2 linked regions of the Nothobranchius furzeri genome follow. The protein of the gene in region 1 interacts with the protein of each later gene in a pairwise test. Links are inferred from orthologs where the notes say so. Each region holds a gene or a part of one and is shown in the gene's direction. Other genes may lie near its edges.

What was found.
Region 2: the proteins of phaf1 (region 1) and bcas3 interact in binary tests that used the Homo sapiens proteins (3 or more experiments, as listed by UniProt). The link is inferred for Nothobranchius furzeri from reciprocal best matches to the Homo sapiens genes PHAF1 and BCAS3.

The regions. Positions count from the first base shown.
Region 1 is NC_091744.1:80,993,504-81,001,864, forward strand, and holds the start of phaf1 (phagosome assembly factor 1), read left to right. Parts: upstream 1-2,886; 5' UTR 2,887-3,098; intron 3,099-3,181; 5' UTR 3,182-3,324; coding exon 3,325-3,388; intron 3,389-3,458; coding exon 3,459-3,541; intron 3,542-4,274; coding exon 4,275-4,358; intron 4,359-4,444; coding exon 4,445-4,488; intron 4,489-4,726; coding exon 4,727-4,806; intron 4,807-4,885; coding exon 4,886-4,980; intron 4,981-7,641; coding exon 7,642-7,706; intron 7,707-7,828; coding exon 7,829-7,941; intron 7,942-8,049; coding exon 8,050-8,183; intron 8,184-8,269; coding exon 8,270-8,353; intron 8,354-8,361. UniProt on the Homo sapiens protein: Plays a regulatory role in autophagic activity. In complex with BCAS3, associates with the autophagosome formation site during both non-selective and selective autophagy.
Region 2 is NC_091753.1:23,577,518-23,586,132, reverse strand, and holds the start of bcas3 (BCAS3 microtubule associated cell migration factor), read left to right. Parts: upstream 1-3,172; 5' UTR 3,173-3,281; exon of another isoform or gene 3,282-3,311; intron 3,312-5,616; 5' UTR 5,617-5,638; coding exon 5,639-5,709; intron 5,710-5,910; coding exon 5,911-5,965; intron 5,966-8,437; coding exon 8,438-8,513; intron 8,514-8,615. UniProt on the Homo sapiens protein: Plays a role in angiogenesis. Participates in the regulation of cell polarity and directional endothelial cell migration by mediating both the activation and recruitment of CDC42 and the reorganization of the actin cytoskeleton at the cell leading edge.

The DNA.
Region 1 (8,361 bases):
ACATAAATACATACAATGTATTCAAATTTTACATAGAAAACCGTAGTTTCTGGTCAGCAGAGGGAAACAGAGTGCTGTCCAATGTGAAGCTGCTAAAGATTTTGTGAAAAATCACTGAAACCAGTTTTAAAGCTATAGCTAAAAGTGTTAACTCTTTAGCATCGCTTTAATAAACCTTTAAAAATTGTGCCATTTTTTTGTTGTTTTGATTTTAGAAATTGTATTTCTCTTTTAAAGCTGTTACAGCAAATCTACAAACAAGCTTTGAACACAAACACGGCCATGGCACACTTTTATAGGGACTCTAGTAGTTAGTCCTAACGTAGAAGTGGTAGCAGCCGACTGTTTCTCCTTCTCTGATATTATTGAGCTGAGAAAATCACACCAGTGGCGTTCTGTTGATAAATACGTGAGTGTGTTTTGAATGCAGGTCCCTGGGAAGTGCAGTGGTTTGGCTAGTCCGACATCCGGATGATCCAATAATTGCTTTAGGTCTGAAACGTGTTATTGGCAAAGGATTTTAGATAAACGCCAAAAAACCACTTTATTGAATTTTTTTAATCTCCACAATTTATTTATTATGTTAGAACATTTTTAAAAGGTATGAAAAAATGTTTTAAGTGTCGGTCGCGAACGAGCCGGCTCTTTGAAGTGAACGACGGGAGCCGGTGTTCTGGGAATTTCTCCTACCCGGTAAACCATCCTACCCGTTGTTCCTGAGCATGTGCGTGCATGCGTACAACACAAAAAGGGAATGCTACTCTGTTGTCATATTTGCAGGAAAATAGGTAAGTTGTAAGTATTAGTACTTTTTATTGACGTTGATACTTGATTTTTTGGGTAAGGGTTAGGGTTAGGGTTTGTGTCATCTAAAACACCGTAAAATTATCCTATGGGTAGGACGTTTTCTCAGAACACCGGCTCGTCATTGGGAGCCGTCCCCTGTTGTTTTAGTGAAAGCCACAGGCGATTGGTCAACATGTGTAACTGCGTGTCCAGACTGTCCATACACAGAGCAGTAGGGGCGAGGAAGAGGGAGGATCACTCAGACACACAGCAGAGCACATGTGGGAGGAGAGGGAATGAGGAGGAAAAAGGCGAGCGAGAGAGTACGACGAAGACGGTGAAAAAATGAGCGCCAGCAGTCGGAAAGTGGAGATTTCTGAAAGTGTTCAGTTTTTAAATCCATAGAAATGATAAATATTTGATATATTGCATTTTTTTTACATTAGTAAATCATTTTACATATAGTTTTGCATTATTTTGGTTATATATGTAATCTACGCAACAGAAAATCTGAGGAGCCACTTGGGAGCCGAAAGAGCCGACTCTTTTTGGTGAGCTGAGCCAAAAGAACTGGCTCTTTCCATCACTAGAAATGAGTGTGGTGTGTTCGTGTTCGTGTGTGATCCGAAAGGGAGCTGCAGACGCTAAACACGTGAAAAAGAAAGTTGACCACTTTGTGGATTTTGCGGATTAGAACGTAACTCACGTGACTAAGGACCACTGTACCGAGCACAGATTTGACCAACAAGCATCAACCTTTTCAGACAGAGGGAACAAAGAGCAACAATCGAATCGGTCTTCCTTTTCTGACACTCCAAAAGTGTTGCTGCTCTGGAATTGTGCTGATGAAACTGCATCGTCTCGTATCTCCAACTGTTCCACAACATTTCCCTGCAGGTGCACATGTCTGAGGTGTGTAAAGTTACCACCCTTGTTCTAGTAAATAAATGTTACACCTAAGCGGTGGCAGAGTTCATACAGCTGGCGCCGTCTGCTGGATAGGTAGCGCAATATCAGCCATATCGGCCGTCTTTTTGGCCGATAGCCAATACTGTTAATGACCCCGATATCGGCCGACCGATATATCGGCCGGCCGATATATCGGTCGGGCCCTACTGCGCACACTTGGACCACCGGAGGCGCTCATTGCTTCTTCATATATTTCACTGAAATTGCCCCTCTCTTGTTCAACATTGTCACAAAACTCATTCAGCCTAGCCATGCAGAATTGTACATCCAATGATTTGGTCTGCAGTATTCCAAAAAGCACAGCAGCATACTCAAAAAGCCCGTTGAATGTGTTGAGAAAAAAAAGTAAACTCAAAATCCTCCAGCCGTGCGTTAAATCCATCTGCAGAAAGCACGGTGCCCTCATCATACTTGTCGTGGTGGTCTAATATGTGACTCGCTTCTCAAAGACAGCATTTACCAACACTGGATTCCTGTGCATCCCCCCAAGCACTGCTGGACTGACCATAGGGCATAGCGGGCAACTTTCTTTCTTTCTTTCTTTCTAGTTAGTTAGTTAGTTAGTTAGTTAGTTGGTTGGTTGTTTAGTAATAACTGCATTGACCGTGGTTTTAACATCGACATATAAATATTTTTAAAAAATGATATGACGTATGTTGTGACGTGACCACGTAGCGCTGTACGTGCTCGGAGCGCAGGAAGTTGAACTATCAGCTGATCTTGCTGGCTGTTGTTGATATCTTGAAGTTGCCGTCGTGTTTGTTCGACTGCCGCGTCGCTCTTATCGCCGCTCGACACCGGAGAGCCGTTAACGGTCGGGGCACGGACGCGTGTACCGGGCCGGGACGTGCTGCGTGTTTCTCAGGGGTGCAGGAGCTAGCTGTCGCTTCTGCTCGGAGCTGAAGAAAAGCAGCAACGGAAGCCGACGGAGGCTCTTTGTTTGAGTCGTGACGTTGTGAAGTGTAACATCAACTCTTCCCGTGTTAAATTCGTTTTTATGTCGGCTTGTTTGTTGTTTATCTTTATTCTGCACAGCTAGCCGTGCGGCTAAGCGCTCGCTAGCATTAGCTTGTTTGTGTGGAGCTCACCGCGCGGCTCGAGAGGAAACATAACGGAGACTCGGAGAAGGAAGCTCGGTGTTTGTCTAGAGCTGAGGTGGGGTTCACGTGCGGTGGTACGAAGTGAACAGCTGTTTCTTATACGCTCATCTGCGCCTGTTCAGCTTGTTTTATCGGTTTTCAAAGCAAACAAACATTTGATCGATGAACCGCTGGCTGTGTGTTTACTGACAGCTGTTGAAGCCCCCCCTCCATGCGGAGTGTCTTCAGATTTAACCTGTCCGGGTAGGAACTGGATGCTTTTAGGCCTTTCATACCTCTGTTCTGGTGCAGTTTTATGACCTGAGATAAATAGGTGTGACTTACAGGTAAACCGGCTGTCAAATAAATCTGACGTGGATAGATGTGACCTGAAATAGCCCCCTGAGGTGCTGTGATCAGGGAGAGGCAGCAGGTAGAGGGTCCCTTTGAGTCTTGAGGTGTGGTGAGCCGCCCCCCCCACTACTGACCAATGCTGGATCTGGAGGTGGTCCCTGAGAGATCACTAGGAAATGAGCAATGGGAATTCGCCTTAGGTGAGCGGCACACACTCATCATCTTTAAATGAAAGACGATGAATCTGTGTGACTTGGTTTCTGTGTGCAGGGATGCCATTTTCCCAGGCCATCTGTATCCTCCAGAAACACTGCCGTATCATCAAAAATGTTCAGGTGCTTTACAGCGAACAGGTAAACACCCGCTCCCACTCGTCTCACAAATGTTAGTCCGCAGGTCGAGGTCTGGTTGTAGGTGAAACATCAAAGGTGTGTGTGTGTGTGAATGTGTGACGTGATAGTGCTGCAGCAGGGACTCGCACTGCTCTGTGTGACGCGAGTCAGTTTAGATTATGTGGTGTGTACAAGTCTTTATTTTGTTGTGTGAGCCCAGCATTCTGGACCAGGCTGATGAGCAGCTCTAGAGAACATCTGGACAACCATCACATTTGCTTGTAATTTACTGTCTCATCCGCTGAACTCTGTCCTCCTTCCTTTGGACAGTCATCGTTTTGGATCGGCCCACTTGTCGCATGAACAGCTGCTATTTGGTTAAGTTGTCTGTTTGGAGCCATAGTCGTCTATAAGCCAGTTTAAATGAGCTCATTTGTATCAAAATGGGTATAAAACCAGCCAACATCACATTAAAGGGACCGTCTGGCTGCCGAGAGGTACTCTAAAGAGGACGAAGACTTACGCACACCACTGAACAGAGCAGAGATCATTTGAAGTCATGATCCTGGCACCTCCTCTCCTCTAAAGAGCAAGACTCTCCTTTTCCAACAACCTAGTTAGCCGGTTTGGGTCTGGTTAGAGACGTCAGAACATCAGTCAGCTTGTCTTGGAACAGTGTGATCCAGGCTCGGGCTGATCTGAGCTCTGCCTGTCTGACTTTTTTAATTACAGACATCTTTTATTCTCTCTCCAGACGCCGCTCAGTCATGACCTCATACTGAACTTGACCCAAGATGGGATTAAGCTGCTGTTTGATGCCACAACCCAGAGACTCAAGGTGACAGTGGATCGTTACCATAACAACACCAGCTTCACCCTCTGACCCTAACGAAGAAGCACTGTTTTTTTGTTTTTACCTGGCAGGTGGTTGAAGTGTATGATCTGAGCAAAGTCAAATTGAAATACTGGTGAGTAGAAACCCGTCCATTAGGATTTATCTGGTATCTGAGCTGAACCGAGTCCGTTTCCTTCGGACGGACGGGCCTTCCGCTGCTCAGCCAATCACACTAACTCAGTCTGCTGCGGTGATGCGTTTGTTGTTGGTGTCCCTCTACCTGTGGAGTCCAGCTCATGTTGCTCTCTGTAACAGCCCGTAACACTGTTGAAATTAGGCTGTGTGTGTGTGTGTGTGTGTGTGTGTTTTAGTGGGGTCCATTTCAACTCCCAGGCCATCGCTCCTACCATAGAGCAGATAGATCAGTCATTTGGAGCTACGCACCCTGGAGGTACGTCGCAGAAACCTCACTAGCCAGCGCGTTGCCTTTACTGTGACTGAAGCTCCTCCTTCTGCTCCTCTCCACCCAGTCTACAATGCTGCAGAGCAGCTGTTCCATCTCAACTTCAGAGGACTGTCCTTCTCCTTTCAGCTGGACTCGTGGAACGAAGCTCCGAAGTACGAGGTGAGAGGAGCTAATCAGTTGTTTCCTCTCACCTGAGGGAACGTCGCTCGCATCCTGGTGAATTATGTGATTGACCTTCATGCAGACTGAGGTTCTTAGATGTTGCAGACGCCTGCAGCTTCAGCTCTTAAGGCTAGTTTATACTTCTGCATCGGTGCGGAGGCGCGCTACGCCATTATTCGTCGTTGCAAGGGCTTCAGCAGGCTCACAAGGACAGGCGGCGTAGAGCCCGCCTTTCTAAATATCCGTCGAAAGCAACAGAGACCGCAAGCCTGTGATTGGTCAGGACACCATCAGTGTTCATTTTGTTGACTAAATATTTTCGTTACGAATGAATGAATGAATTTTTGCTGACTGGAACGAAACAGAAACTTCCATGCTTTCGTTCTTTTTAAAACACAGAAACAGTTTTGTTGACCTGTTTTGTAGCTACGTTTCGCCGGCTGCCGGCGAAACGTAGCTACAAAACAGGTCAACAAAACTGTTTCTGTGTTTTAAAAAGAACGAAAGCATGGTATTAGAACCACGACACAGCAAGAACACACCTAAGAAACAGAAACTTACACACATAATAAAGACTAAATTATGATAAATATTAAGCGACACTTTCCTAACCCTAACCAACAACTGACCGAATCAAAAATCCAATCAGAAAATGGAAAAGGCGGGAATAGACGAGAAAAGAACCAATCCGAGTCTGGAGCCAACCAGACGTCATTAAAGAGCAAGTCAACACCTACCAGAGTCTAACTCCACTCCCACTTCATGTTTGAAAAACGCAACAAATGCTGTTGCCTGGCAGACCAAGAAGGCGGAGCTGCTAACAAATACACACACACACACACACACACACACACACAGGCTCACGACTGCACTGTGACATCATAATGTATCAGTTAGCCAATAGCGGTGGCAGATTTAAATTAAAATACAGTGCAGAGTTTTTACCTGACAACGGCACAACACTGCCAGTTTTAGGCAGAATATTTAAATTTTAACTAAGATGCACTGAAATGCCAAATTATTGACGACACGTGTCTGCAGCACGATTAGACACTCGTTTATTTAGTTTATCAGCAAAAAAAAGTTTATTTGGGGGTGACTTGCTCTTTAATGTTTATGCCAGTAAACGTTACCGTGGATACAGAAAGTATTCAGACCCCCGTCTCTCTGTTACATTGCTGCTGTTTGCTAAAATCAGTCAAATCTGTTTTCCTCGTTAATGCACACACAGCACCCATCATGACAGAAAAACACAGACTTCTAGAAACTTCTGCAGACTTATTAGAAAAGACAAACTGAAATATTACATGGTCCCAAGTTTTCTGGCCCTTTGCTGTTACGCTCGTATATAAAATATATGTAAGATATAAAAGTTGAGGTGGTCGCTCCTTCCAGACCAACGATCTCCTTTATCCTAACGTAGCGTTGACCTTCTGGACAAACGGCCCTAAACCGTTAATTTTCTTATTTTTAACTCCTAATTTGTAATCTTTTGTCTGTTGATGACATTTTATGATTTAATGACTATTTTTTTCTGATGTTAATCTATTTCATTATGATTTCATGACTTTGTTTTATTTAGTTTTGATCTATGTGAAGCACTTTTTGATTCTATGTCTGTGATGAGTGTGTAGAAATAACATTTACTCACATATATTTAACTTGGGTGCTTTCCATTTCTTCTGATCATCATTGAGATGGTCCTACACCTTCATTGGAGTCCAGCTGTGCTTGACTGTGACTGGACTGGGTTAGGAAAGCCACACCTGTCTATAACAGACCTTACAGCTCACCATGCATGTCGGAGCTGATGAGAATCATGAGGTCAGGGGAACTGCCTGAAGGGCTCAGAGACAGAATTGTGGCAAGGCACAGATCTGGTCAATGTTACAAAACCATCTCCGCTGCTCAGTGGCCTTCGTGATCCTCGAATGGGAGACATTTGGGACGACCAGAACCCTCCAGGCCGTCCAGCCAAACTGGGCTACTGGGGGAGAAGAGCCTTGGTGAGAGAGGTAAAGAAGAACCCAAAGATCACTGTGGTGTTCTCAAATGAAGACGTTTGTAGAATAAGATTCTCTGGTCTGATGAGACCAAGGTAGAACTTTTTGGCCTTAATCAATCAATCAATCAAAGCTTTATTTATAAAGCGCCTTCCACAACCCTGTCAGGAAGCCCAAGGCGCTGAACATGGTACAACATTAATTCTACGTGGTATGTGTGGACACACCCAGGCACTTTACTTTACTTGCATTTAAACTGTAATCCTCTCCTGTCCCACCTGAAATGAATCTTGAGATACGGTGGGCCGTAAGGGACACGCCATAGCCGGGACAGGACGATCGTCGCAGCTCTGTGACATCATCGGCCTTTGAAGGATGAATTCGGACACGGCGTTTCGTTAGACCCAGGATGGGAACCGCTGGTGCTACAGGAGTAAACCAACAAACTGGATTATATCGCTGGAGATCCGGTGCAGCAGTACATCTAATGTTATTTTACAAACTCATCTTTTATGTTAAAGAAGAAATCTGAACATTTCTGCAGAAATAACTGGTTAGCTAGTCAACACCGAAGGCTGTAGACTCCTATTTCTCTGAACAGAGGCTGTTCTAGAAGCTATTTCCTTTAACTCATTTTTTTTTCCTGTTTCCTCAGATTCCTCATGGAGCCATGGTCAAAAGGATGCACATCTACACTGGAAACAACCTGCAGGAAACCAGGTGATGCTGATAATCCCACAGCTCCTGCGCTGCTGCATCAGACCCTAATCCTAATCCAATGTTTTTGTGGCTTTAAACATATGAATAACTAATCAGAAGCTCTGGTCTCAAACCTCCTTCAGAGCTCCTGCCATGCCGTTAGCTTGTTTCCTGGGAAACATCTATGCAGATTGTGTGGACGTCTTGAGAGATGGAACGGGTCCTCTGGGGCTTAAGCTCCGCCTTCTCACTGCAGGTAATCTTGCTGTCCTATCACGTTCTGACCCGTCCAGACTACAGCAGCAGGCGGCTGACCTTCCTTCCTCCAGCTGATTTCTATTCCCGCTGCTTGTTGTGGTTCCAGGTTCTGGTCTTGGTGTGATGGCCGACGCCAAAGTCCGGTTTCTGGAGAGGAGCATCTTCTTTGGAGATTCCTGCCAGGATGTTCTGGGTGCTTTGGGCTCGCCACATAAAGTCTTCTACAAGTCTGAGGACAAGGCAGGAGCTCTTTGATCCCATGTTCTCTTCTTTTTTTATTCAGTCCTGTTTACATGATTTCAAATGGTCATGATGGCGTGTTTCAGATGAAGATCCACTCTCCATCGCCTCACAAGCAGGTTCCTTCTAAATGTAACGACTACTTCTTCAACTACTTCACTCTGGGAGTGGTACGTGT
Region 2 (8,615 bases), on another chromosome or scaffold:
CGCTCCAGGCAGCTGCGTCCAGCGCACGGTCCATTCTCAAAGTGGCGCAACCAAAAAACTATAATTAGCACACGATTGTTAATGTCCGCACATGTTCTCTATTTTCTCTTATTTGTGCCTGAAGCGCTCTGTGACTGTGGAGCTCATCAACTGTGCTGCGGTGATTTCACCTCACTGATGCATCGAAACGCCTCTCCGCTTTGCGGTCAGGAGATCCCTTTGATCTGCTCAAAAATAACTGATGAGGTGAAAAAGTAAGAATCCAGGCAGCAGATTTTCTGAAGACTTTAGAGGAGATGCAGGAAGATGAGAGACAGACAGGACAGGGAACTAATAAAAACAAGAAAACAAAACAAAGTGTTGAAAAGTAAAATGTGGGTAGATTTATCTCCACTACACGTTTTTACCTCTATAAAACAATAAGTTATACACATGTAATATTTATATATCTGATACAATTCAGATCGTCTTCAAAACTCTGTCACACAGCCAGGGCCGTTTCAAGACATTTTGGGGTCCAAGGCAAAATGACCCCCCACCCCCCCATAACTGGGGTCCCCAGAAGCCTCTGTGTAATCCATACCCTCTCCAGGAGAGTTAGTTATACAGTGTTTGTAAAAGCCCCTCAGACATTACTGACATGTTCTAATATTATCAGATGAAAAACTAAATTATCAGACTTCCTGTCTCATCTGCTGCTTTTCTAAACTTGCAAAAAGTAACAAAACCATTTGAAAGCCACTATTTGTGGATTCTCTGAAAGTTTCCATGGAGTGTGTGACAACTTATTTTTTCATTGATCCTATCGTCTAATCTCACAGCTGAAACAAGCATCCTTAATAATCTGTGTACTGGAAGCGTACCAATGTTGTAGTAAAACAAAAGGTATAAAAATTTATTATTAATAAAACCTTGTTGCAGCATTAAAGCAGAAAAATGAGATTTTGCAATAAATATGCAAAATATTTACATATGAATAGTTTTAGAACCCTTTTATTGGCAGAATCTGATATTAATTTAGCTCTTACAAAAAATGGGTCCCAACGTGGTTTGTGTGGCGTTTGCCATAGTGTGATGTCATAGGCACAGATCCCCTATCCTCTTGTTTGGAAATGGAAATATGATCACCCTACATTAAACAAACTGTCCACCCGGGCTTTCGAAATGCACAGAGACGCTTCGCTGCCTATGACTTTGAATGTCAGTTGAGAGTCAGTCTCATGCAGACTGACCAATGAAGAGAGGGCCTCAAGTTAAGACCCTCTCCTCATTGGTCAGCCCACACAAGGTGGGTTAAAGGTTACCCTGAGCGGGTTACGTGATGTCAGGCATTCAAGTATTGAGTATATTTACTGCATATTACAGTAAAATATTCTGTATGTGACCATATTATGGTGATCCTTGGGTCGTGATGATGGGGCCCTTTAATATTGTTGCCCAGGGTACAACAAAGTGTTAATCTGGCCCTGTGCTCACTACTGTTTTAAGCCAGGGGGAAACCCAGATGTGGACTCACCAAGCAGATACTTTCCAGATTCTCATATTTAATGCTTTTCTTACAGCCATGAACTTTTTCTCCTTTTAGACATAAATTGTTCAACTGTTACCTGCATAGACATCAATTTGATGTCTGTGGTTACTGGCAGCTTGTTCAAATAGAAGGTCGGCTCTGATTGGTTCTTTTCTCGTCTAGCCCCACCTGTTCGATGTGCTGATTGACAGTGACTCCCATTTCTTCCTGTTGCACATTGAAGCTCTGCTAAAAACATTTTTGAGATCCAACCACGCAAAATAATATTTTTGACCATTTTTCAAGTGGTCTTCTACTTTTGATCTGGACTATACTGTATGGATAGATTACAGACAGTGTTTTAGGGATAGGGTGTTAGACCATGGTGGAATTTTAGCAATTAAATCCTCAGAAACAAAAACTTGCATTTGAGACATGGAATGCCACCCCTCTGTTCCAGGTGAGAGGCTGAGGGCCAAGGAGGGCTTCTTGATTGCACCAAAAATATAATCCTGTATTTTGAGAAGCAGCTCAACGAACTAAAAGGGAGCTTCCCTGTGCTTTTGGAGCAGCCCATAGGGAATGGTTTCTGGGTTCAAGGTTCTGGTTCTGGAGAAATCCTTGGGCTAAATTATTTCCCCAGTCCGTTCCTGACGTCAGACAGCAGCTCACAGTCCTTTATGATAGACTTGGGAGTTGGGACATCTGCTAGATGGCACTCTAACTAGGAAATCCAGAGTCCTGCTGCTCAGGTGGGAAATTAAAGTGTGACCTCGATGGGTGTGACTGAATGGAGTGGCCCACCTGGTCTGAACCAGAGATGTGCTTTATATTTGGACATCTCTGCTAGTGTCAGAACATTATGTTCTAACTCAAGGATGCCCATTAGTACATGTGGTGGGAAGGGTCGCAGGTCAAAGATTGATTAGCTGCATCATCACACCTGCAACCAAATGTTTTGGAAAACGGATTGGAGTCACATGATCACCACTTGGTGGTGAGCTTAAGCCAAAAGCAGGGGAAGATGTCCGGTAGACCTGGTAGGCACAAATGTATAATAGCGGTCTGCTGGGAACCCCTGGTGGAGGAATCTGGAAACATTTTTTTCAGCACTCACTTCCAACAGAGACTTGATCACAACCTCATGGGGTGAGCAGATCCACACCAGTAAAATGTGGGACTTATAACTCTGAAAGGTTGTTGTAATTTAACATTCAACCCCAAAAGTACACACGTTATTAAAATCCCAAGTAATAAAGCATGTTTAAATGCATTACAATTCCATTTCTACTTTAACTGTCTTTATGTTGTGTTTTTGCCATTAACAAACTTTCACTATTCATTTCTCTATTACATTTTTATGTGTGTGCAGGTTTTTTTTCTCTTCATTTGTAAAATTGTCAAAATAAACTTGTAAAAATAAAAATGACTAAAAAATACCTCTAGTCATTTATTTTAGCAAATACATAAAATGTAGATTTTATTTTATTAATTAAACAAATCAAATTAATTTCATTTGGTCTCATGGAAAATTAAATTAAATATTACTTTGTTTTACTTTTCTAAAATATATATTTCAGATTTTTTTTGTAAAACCCTTCAGTGACGTAATCCGGAATCCCGCCCTTGCTGTAACTTGATTGGATCGATCCTTTGGTTTCTGGGCTCTGATTGGCTTGTAATTACAAAACACAGTTCCGCAAAACCTGTGTTTGTGTTGTGACTGTTTTGTGGGAGACAGGTCTGCAGACCAGCTGGCGTCCTGAAACAAGTAGGCTGCCTGCCACTCTTCTGTGCTTCGGTTCGTTTCAGCACCTGTTTGAACGTGCTATTGAGATCCAACACAGTTCTTTTCTAGGCTTTAACCATGTCGGGTCAACACTACTGATTATATTTACCAGCTAGCTGCGTGGCTAGGTGTTAGCATCGGGGTCCCGCTGTAAGTTTAGCTTTGGCTAGCACCTTTTGAGAGACGTGTCTCATTGTTTACCGGAGGCTTCCGTGCCGAGACAACAGTAATAGCGCGCGAGTTCGGTCTGTTGTTATACGTCATCGTTGTAGACATATAGCCTTATCTCCTGTTGGTGGTGGTGTAGGGACCTTAGGTGGAGACTCGTGTCCTCCGTCCACACGGTCTCCTCCTTAGAGCTGAGACTTTATGATAAAACCAGCCTGGTGTCCCCAGGAGTTTACATAGTTTTGAAGGCTGGTTAAATGCTTAATTAATGACGCGCTGCTTCTGGAGGAAGCCTGGACGTTTCTGGTGTTACATCGAGTTTCGTCCCCCTGTAGAGCAGGTCCTCCTTCTGTGGTGGACTTACAGTCATCTGGTCCTCCTGATTAAGTGTTCAACTTGTCAATAGAAGAACGAGCATCTGAGGATAAAATACACACAACAGCGAGCTAGCTGTGAGCTAATTTCTGTTATGGTGACATTTTGACACCAGGATCACGTGTCTTCTACATCATAATCATGTAGGATCTGCCTGATGTGAAGCCACGCACAACATCACATGTGTGCCATGTTCTCGTTGTCTTGGACTGAAAAGAATTCTCTGCTTGGAACCTGGAAATGGAGGAAGAACGACCCTCTCTAGTAACTTAAATTGTAAGGCACCTGACATATTTATGGATGCAGACCTCCACCAGCATGAGAGGTGGACCCAGAGGAAGGACAGCAAGTTCTTCCCCAAATGCGTGTTTTGCTTTAAACATATAAATACCAGCCTCTCAGAAGAGGGGCTCGGAGACCAGGACTTCCTCGTTCTGTGCAGTCTGTCATTTGTAAGGCTGTAAAACGAAGATACCCTGAGATTAAAGCGAGTCTCTGAGAGAGAGAGCGAACCCCTCCTAATAAACAGGTTTAATACAGACAGAACCAGAGTCATGGAGGAACTCCATTCAGCTGTTTGTATTTGGATAGAATCAGTTCAGCATACAGTAATGACACAAATGATCTCTGTCTCTCAGGAGCATTTTGTTTTATAATAAACCTTTCTTTTAGCATGAAATACAAAGCTTATATTTACAAAGATTATTGAGAGCGTAACGGGAAATTATCCTGAAAATAATCAGTAAAGACATTAATCTTGACTGCAATATATTATAGCATAATAATATCATGAGGATCCAATCTGAGGCTGCATACTAGCACAGTCATTAGCACAATGGGAAGGTCGCTGGTTTCAATCCCAGCTGTGGCCTTTCTGCATGGAGCTAGCCTGTTCTCCATATGCAAGTGTGGCTTCTCTCTGGGATTTCCACACTCAGACCAAAAACATTTCAGGTTAACTGGAGACTCTAAATGTGAGTGAGTTTCCTGATTTTATATTTTGACCTTTAGTTTTAGTTTTGTTTTTTCTTTCATCAGATCAGACAGCAGATGGTTTTCTGTCTCCACTGGTTACCTGTTAAGTTCAGGATCATTTTCAAACTCCTTCTTTTCCACCATCAACAATGTTGCGCCTCCATGTTTTTGGGGCATTGTCAACATTGCTGCCTCCTCTCGTTCCCTCCAATCTTCCTCGTTGTTCCCTCTTCCCGCCTCGTCACTCTGGGAGGTAGAGCCTTTGCCTGTTCTGCCCCTAAACTCTGGAACTCATTGCCGCCTGACATCCGTAACCTTGACTCTCTCCCACTTTTTAAATCCAGAATAAAAACGTGCATGTTTAGGGCAGCATTATTATTATTATTATTACTAATATCGTTATTATTGTTACTATCCTTATGTCTCCCTTTAACAGACCTCTACTCTGAACATCAGACTGTGTCACTGGGACCTGACACTTTAGCATGCTTTTCAGGATCTCTACTGACATCTCTCCTGTTGTAGACACATTTCTTTTTAGATAACAGGATAAAGGTTTTATAATGTGAATTAAATTTTTGTCAGAGCAAAGCTAAACATCATTATCTGTATACACCCAGACTTTATGCAAGAGTTTCTTTTTATTGTGACTGAAGTGAGTTTAAAAACAAAGTTAAAGCTTCTGCTCAGAGAAGAGATTGTTTCATGGGACAGTGTTCTTTTGTTTCTGAGACAGGTTAGACCAAATCCCAGAAATCTGACTTTTACTGACCCTGCTAACCTCATGGTATCTCTTCAGGTGACAAACCAGTCGGAGAAAAATGGCGTCGGACTCTCCTCGCAGACCGAGCCGCTGTGCTGGAGGAGTTCTGGTGCGAGCACAAGCTGCAACGTAAGAGCGTGAACCTGCTGTGCATGTTCTTAGAAAGTCAGATTGATGATTCCATAACTGCATGTGAGCTACAGATGAGCTATCAGCCCTTTGTCCCTGATGACAGAAGATAAGAACTGCTTCGTACTAAACGTTGATCCCTTTAACTTTATTGTGATACTTTGTGGGTTTCCTTTTGACATGGATGTCCTGTTTCCATAGGGAGCAGTCATACATGGAAAGTGTTGTCACGTTTCTACAGGATGTGGTTCCACAGGTACGTCTTATTTAGATACAGGCGACAAATGCACAGGTGAGAATCTTTAAAGGGGCGTGGGTTAAAACGTGTGCAAAAGCAACACTCAATAAATTTCCTACTTCTCCCTCCTACTGGTTGAAAGCAGAAATGCAACTGTTGTAAACAACTCTGCCGCAGTCCACTGTAGCTAGCACTAACAATGGGCTATTGCTAACATGAGCCAGCTGATACTAAATAAGCCACGAAGTAAAAAGATCCACACTGTTAAACAAAAACAGTTATTACGTACAAGTCCAGTAACAACAAAGCTAGGTCACCATCAGTCTGACTTCGTAGCCTCATTTAGCTCCCTCAAGCTAGTGTAGGTCGTGCCGATGATCACTTTGGTTTTGGATCTTTGCTTCATCCCCAAAGTCATTACTCTCTTACCTTTAGGCTCAACCATGATGCCAACAAAAAAGCTGAATTCTTCTTCTGTCTGATTTTTTTTATTGACGACCAGTGAACTGAAAAAGCTAATTGCTAGTCTTTATATTAGCTAACAGCACAGTACACATCTATTATTATTATTATTATTATTATTATTATTATTATTATATAAAAACTATTTACCAGCAAATGTTGCTGCACATTAGTGTGGGAATAGGTCAAAGGTCAATTCCAATCAATCTGTAGTCCTTTATTCTACAGGGGGAAAGATTATTCATTAGTAGAAAACATTCCACCCAGCTGATGATCCAGGTTTTCTCCAAGGTCAGAGGTCAAAGCTTAGAGAAATGACCAAAATCTTCATAAAAACAAGAGCTAATTTAAAGATTAAAGGTCACAGCTCAGCTTAGGTTGGTTTGATCTTAGCCACCCACTGGCCTTCTGGAACATTGTGGTAGATTTTTACCCACAATGCCTTGGTTATTCTGACTGTCAACAAGGGGGTGGACGCTGATAGTTTGGCTTGGTTCTGCAGCTATGGGGCACCATGAACTCCTCTGGCTAAGTGTCCCAGAGTCTTACGTGAGACCATCTGACAGCTGGAGCTTGGACCAAACCGGGTCATGAAACAGAGCCATGATCCAAACACAGTAGCAGACCTAGAACAGAATCAAAGAGATGTGATGCTCCAGGCAGACCCAGGGTTCTAGATTTTCAACTAGTCCTTGTTGCTGTTTTGAAACCATCTGGCTAAAGGGATGGGCCAAGTGGACCTGGAGCCAGATGCTTCCTGTTAGATTCTGTAGCGTTAGCATACTGAGCACACCTTGTTAGAAAACAGATATATTTGTCAAAAACAAACAAGTGAGCAAAACTAAAGACAATAAAAAAATCCTCTATTTTAGTACATGCATTTTTTTGAACAGTTGCAAAATACTTTTTCCTCTAAAGTAATTGGCTGATTGTTGCATAGAGTTAAATAGAGAGCCTGTGGGGAGAGAACATGGGTCTAATCTGTCCCTACTTCCGTTGCTTGCGTATGATTTAATTTAAACATGAATGAATGAAAGCCCCTTTTTTCCCAAGCAGCAAACGTCGCTGGGTCAGTCCCAGCACAGAACGAGTTACCAGTGGTGGCTGACACCCAGCAGTCTCAGCAACTTTGTTCACAGAGTTGAAATTAAGTCATTCATGAACAAATATGAATGATAATGCCAAGAGGGGGCCATAAGATAAGACTTTATTGATGCTGCAGTGGGGACATTTGTGCAAAGGAGTACCAAAGTGACCAAGAACGCAAAAATAAAAAAAGACAAGACTCTATATTCAACAGTAGTTCCTAAATACGGCAAATTGAATGTTCAGAGATGATGAGTCATAGCTCCGGTGCTGTGGTTTTGGGTCGGGGTTAGAGTCACAGGCACAGCCAACATACCAACAGGTGAACCCTGAAAAATGAGAATCTGGTGCAAAAGTTCATTTATGTCAGTAATCCAGCTTAGACTGAGAGACCATCTAAAGGCTCAGGAGCCCTTTGCAGGTGTTCTGGATCCATCAGCTGATTGGAGTGTGGCACTGAGGCAAGATGATTGAACCTTTTCACAACGTTCTAATTGTCTGAGATTTAGCATGTGGGGTTTTCATCAGCTGTGAGCCATAATCGTCACAATTATAACAAATGTGGGCTTGAAAGATCTGGCTTTCTATTCTCATGTCTATCTCATGTAATATTCACCCTTTAGATTTGGTTTAAATGAACTTTGCTTCACATTCTACTTTTTTGAGTTTCACCTACAAGTTTAAATTTTCCATGTACAACAAGGTAGACCCAGAGCAACACGTGACTTCTGTAGACATTTCAGATGTTTCCTTTTTCATCTGCTGAAAAGTTCATTTCTAACCGGCAGACCACGTTTCTGTGGATACAGAGCATCTAGTTTTTACAGCTGTTAGATCGTCCACTACAAACTTCTCTTTGGACACGGTTTGTGTTTTTTGCTGTATCTGTTTTGTTCACTACTTTTTATTTATTTATTTATTTATTTATTTTTTGAATGGCAGGCCTACACCGGGGCTCCACCCACAGATGAGAAAGAGAAAGTCATTTGGGTTCGATTTGAGAAAGCCGACATCAACGGTGAGTCTGTAAAACCGACGTGTTGTCAGCCAACATCGTTACGTGTTGTGGCAGTTTGCCAGTTCTGTTTTTTTTATCTTACCTGCTTCCAAGTGTCATTTC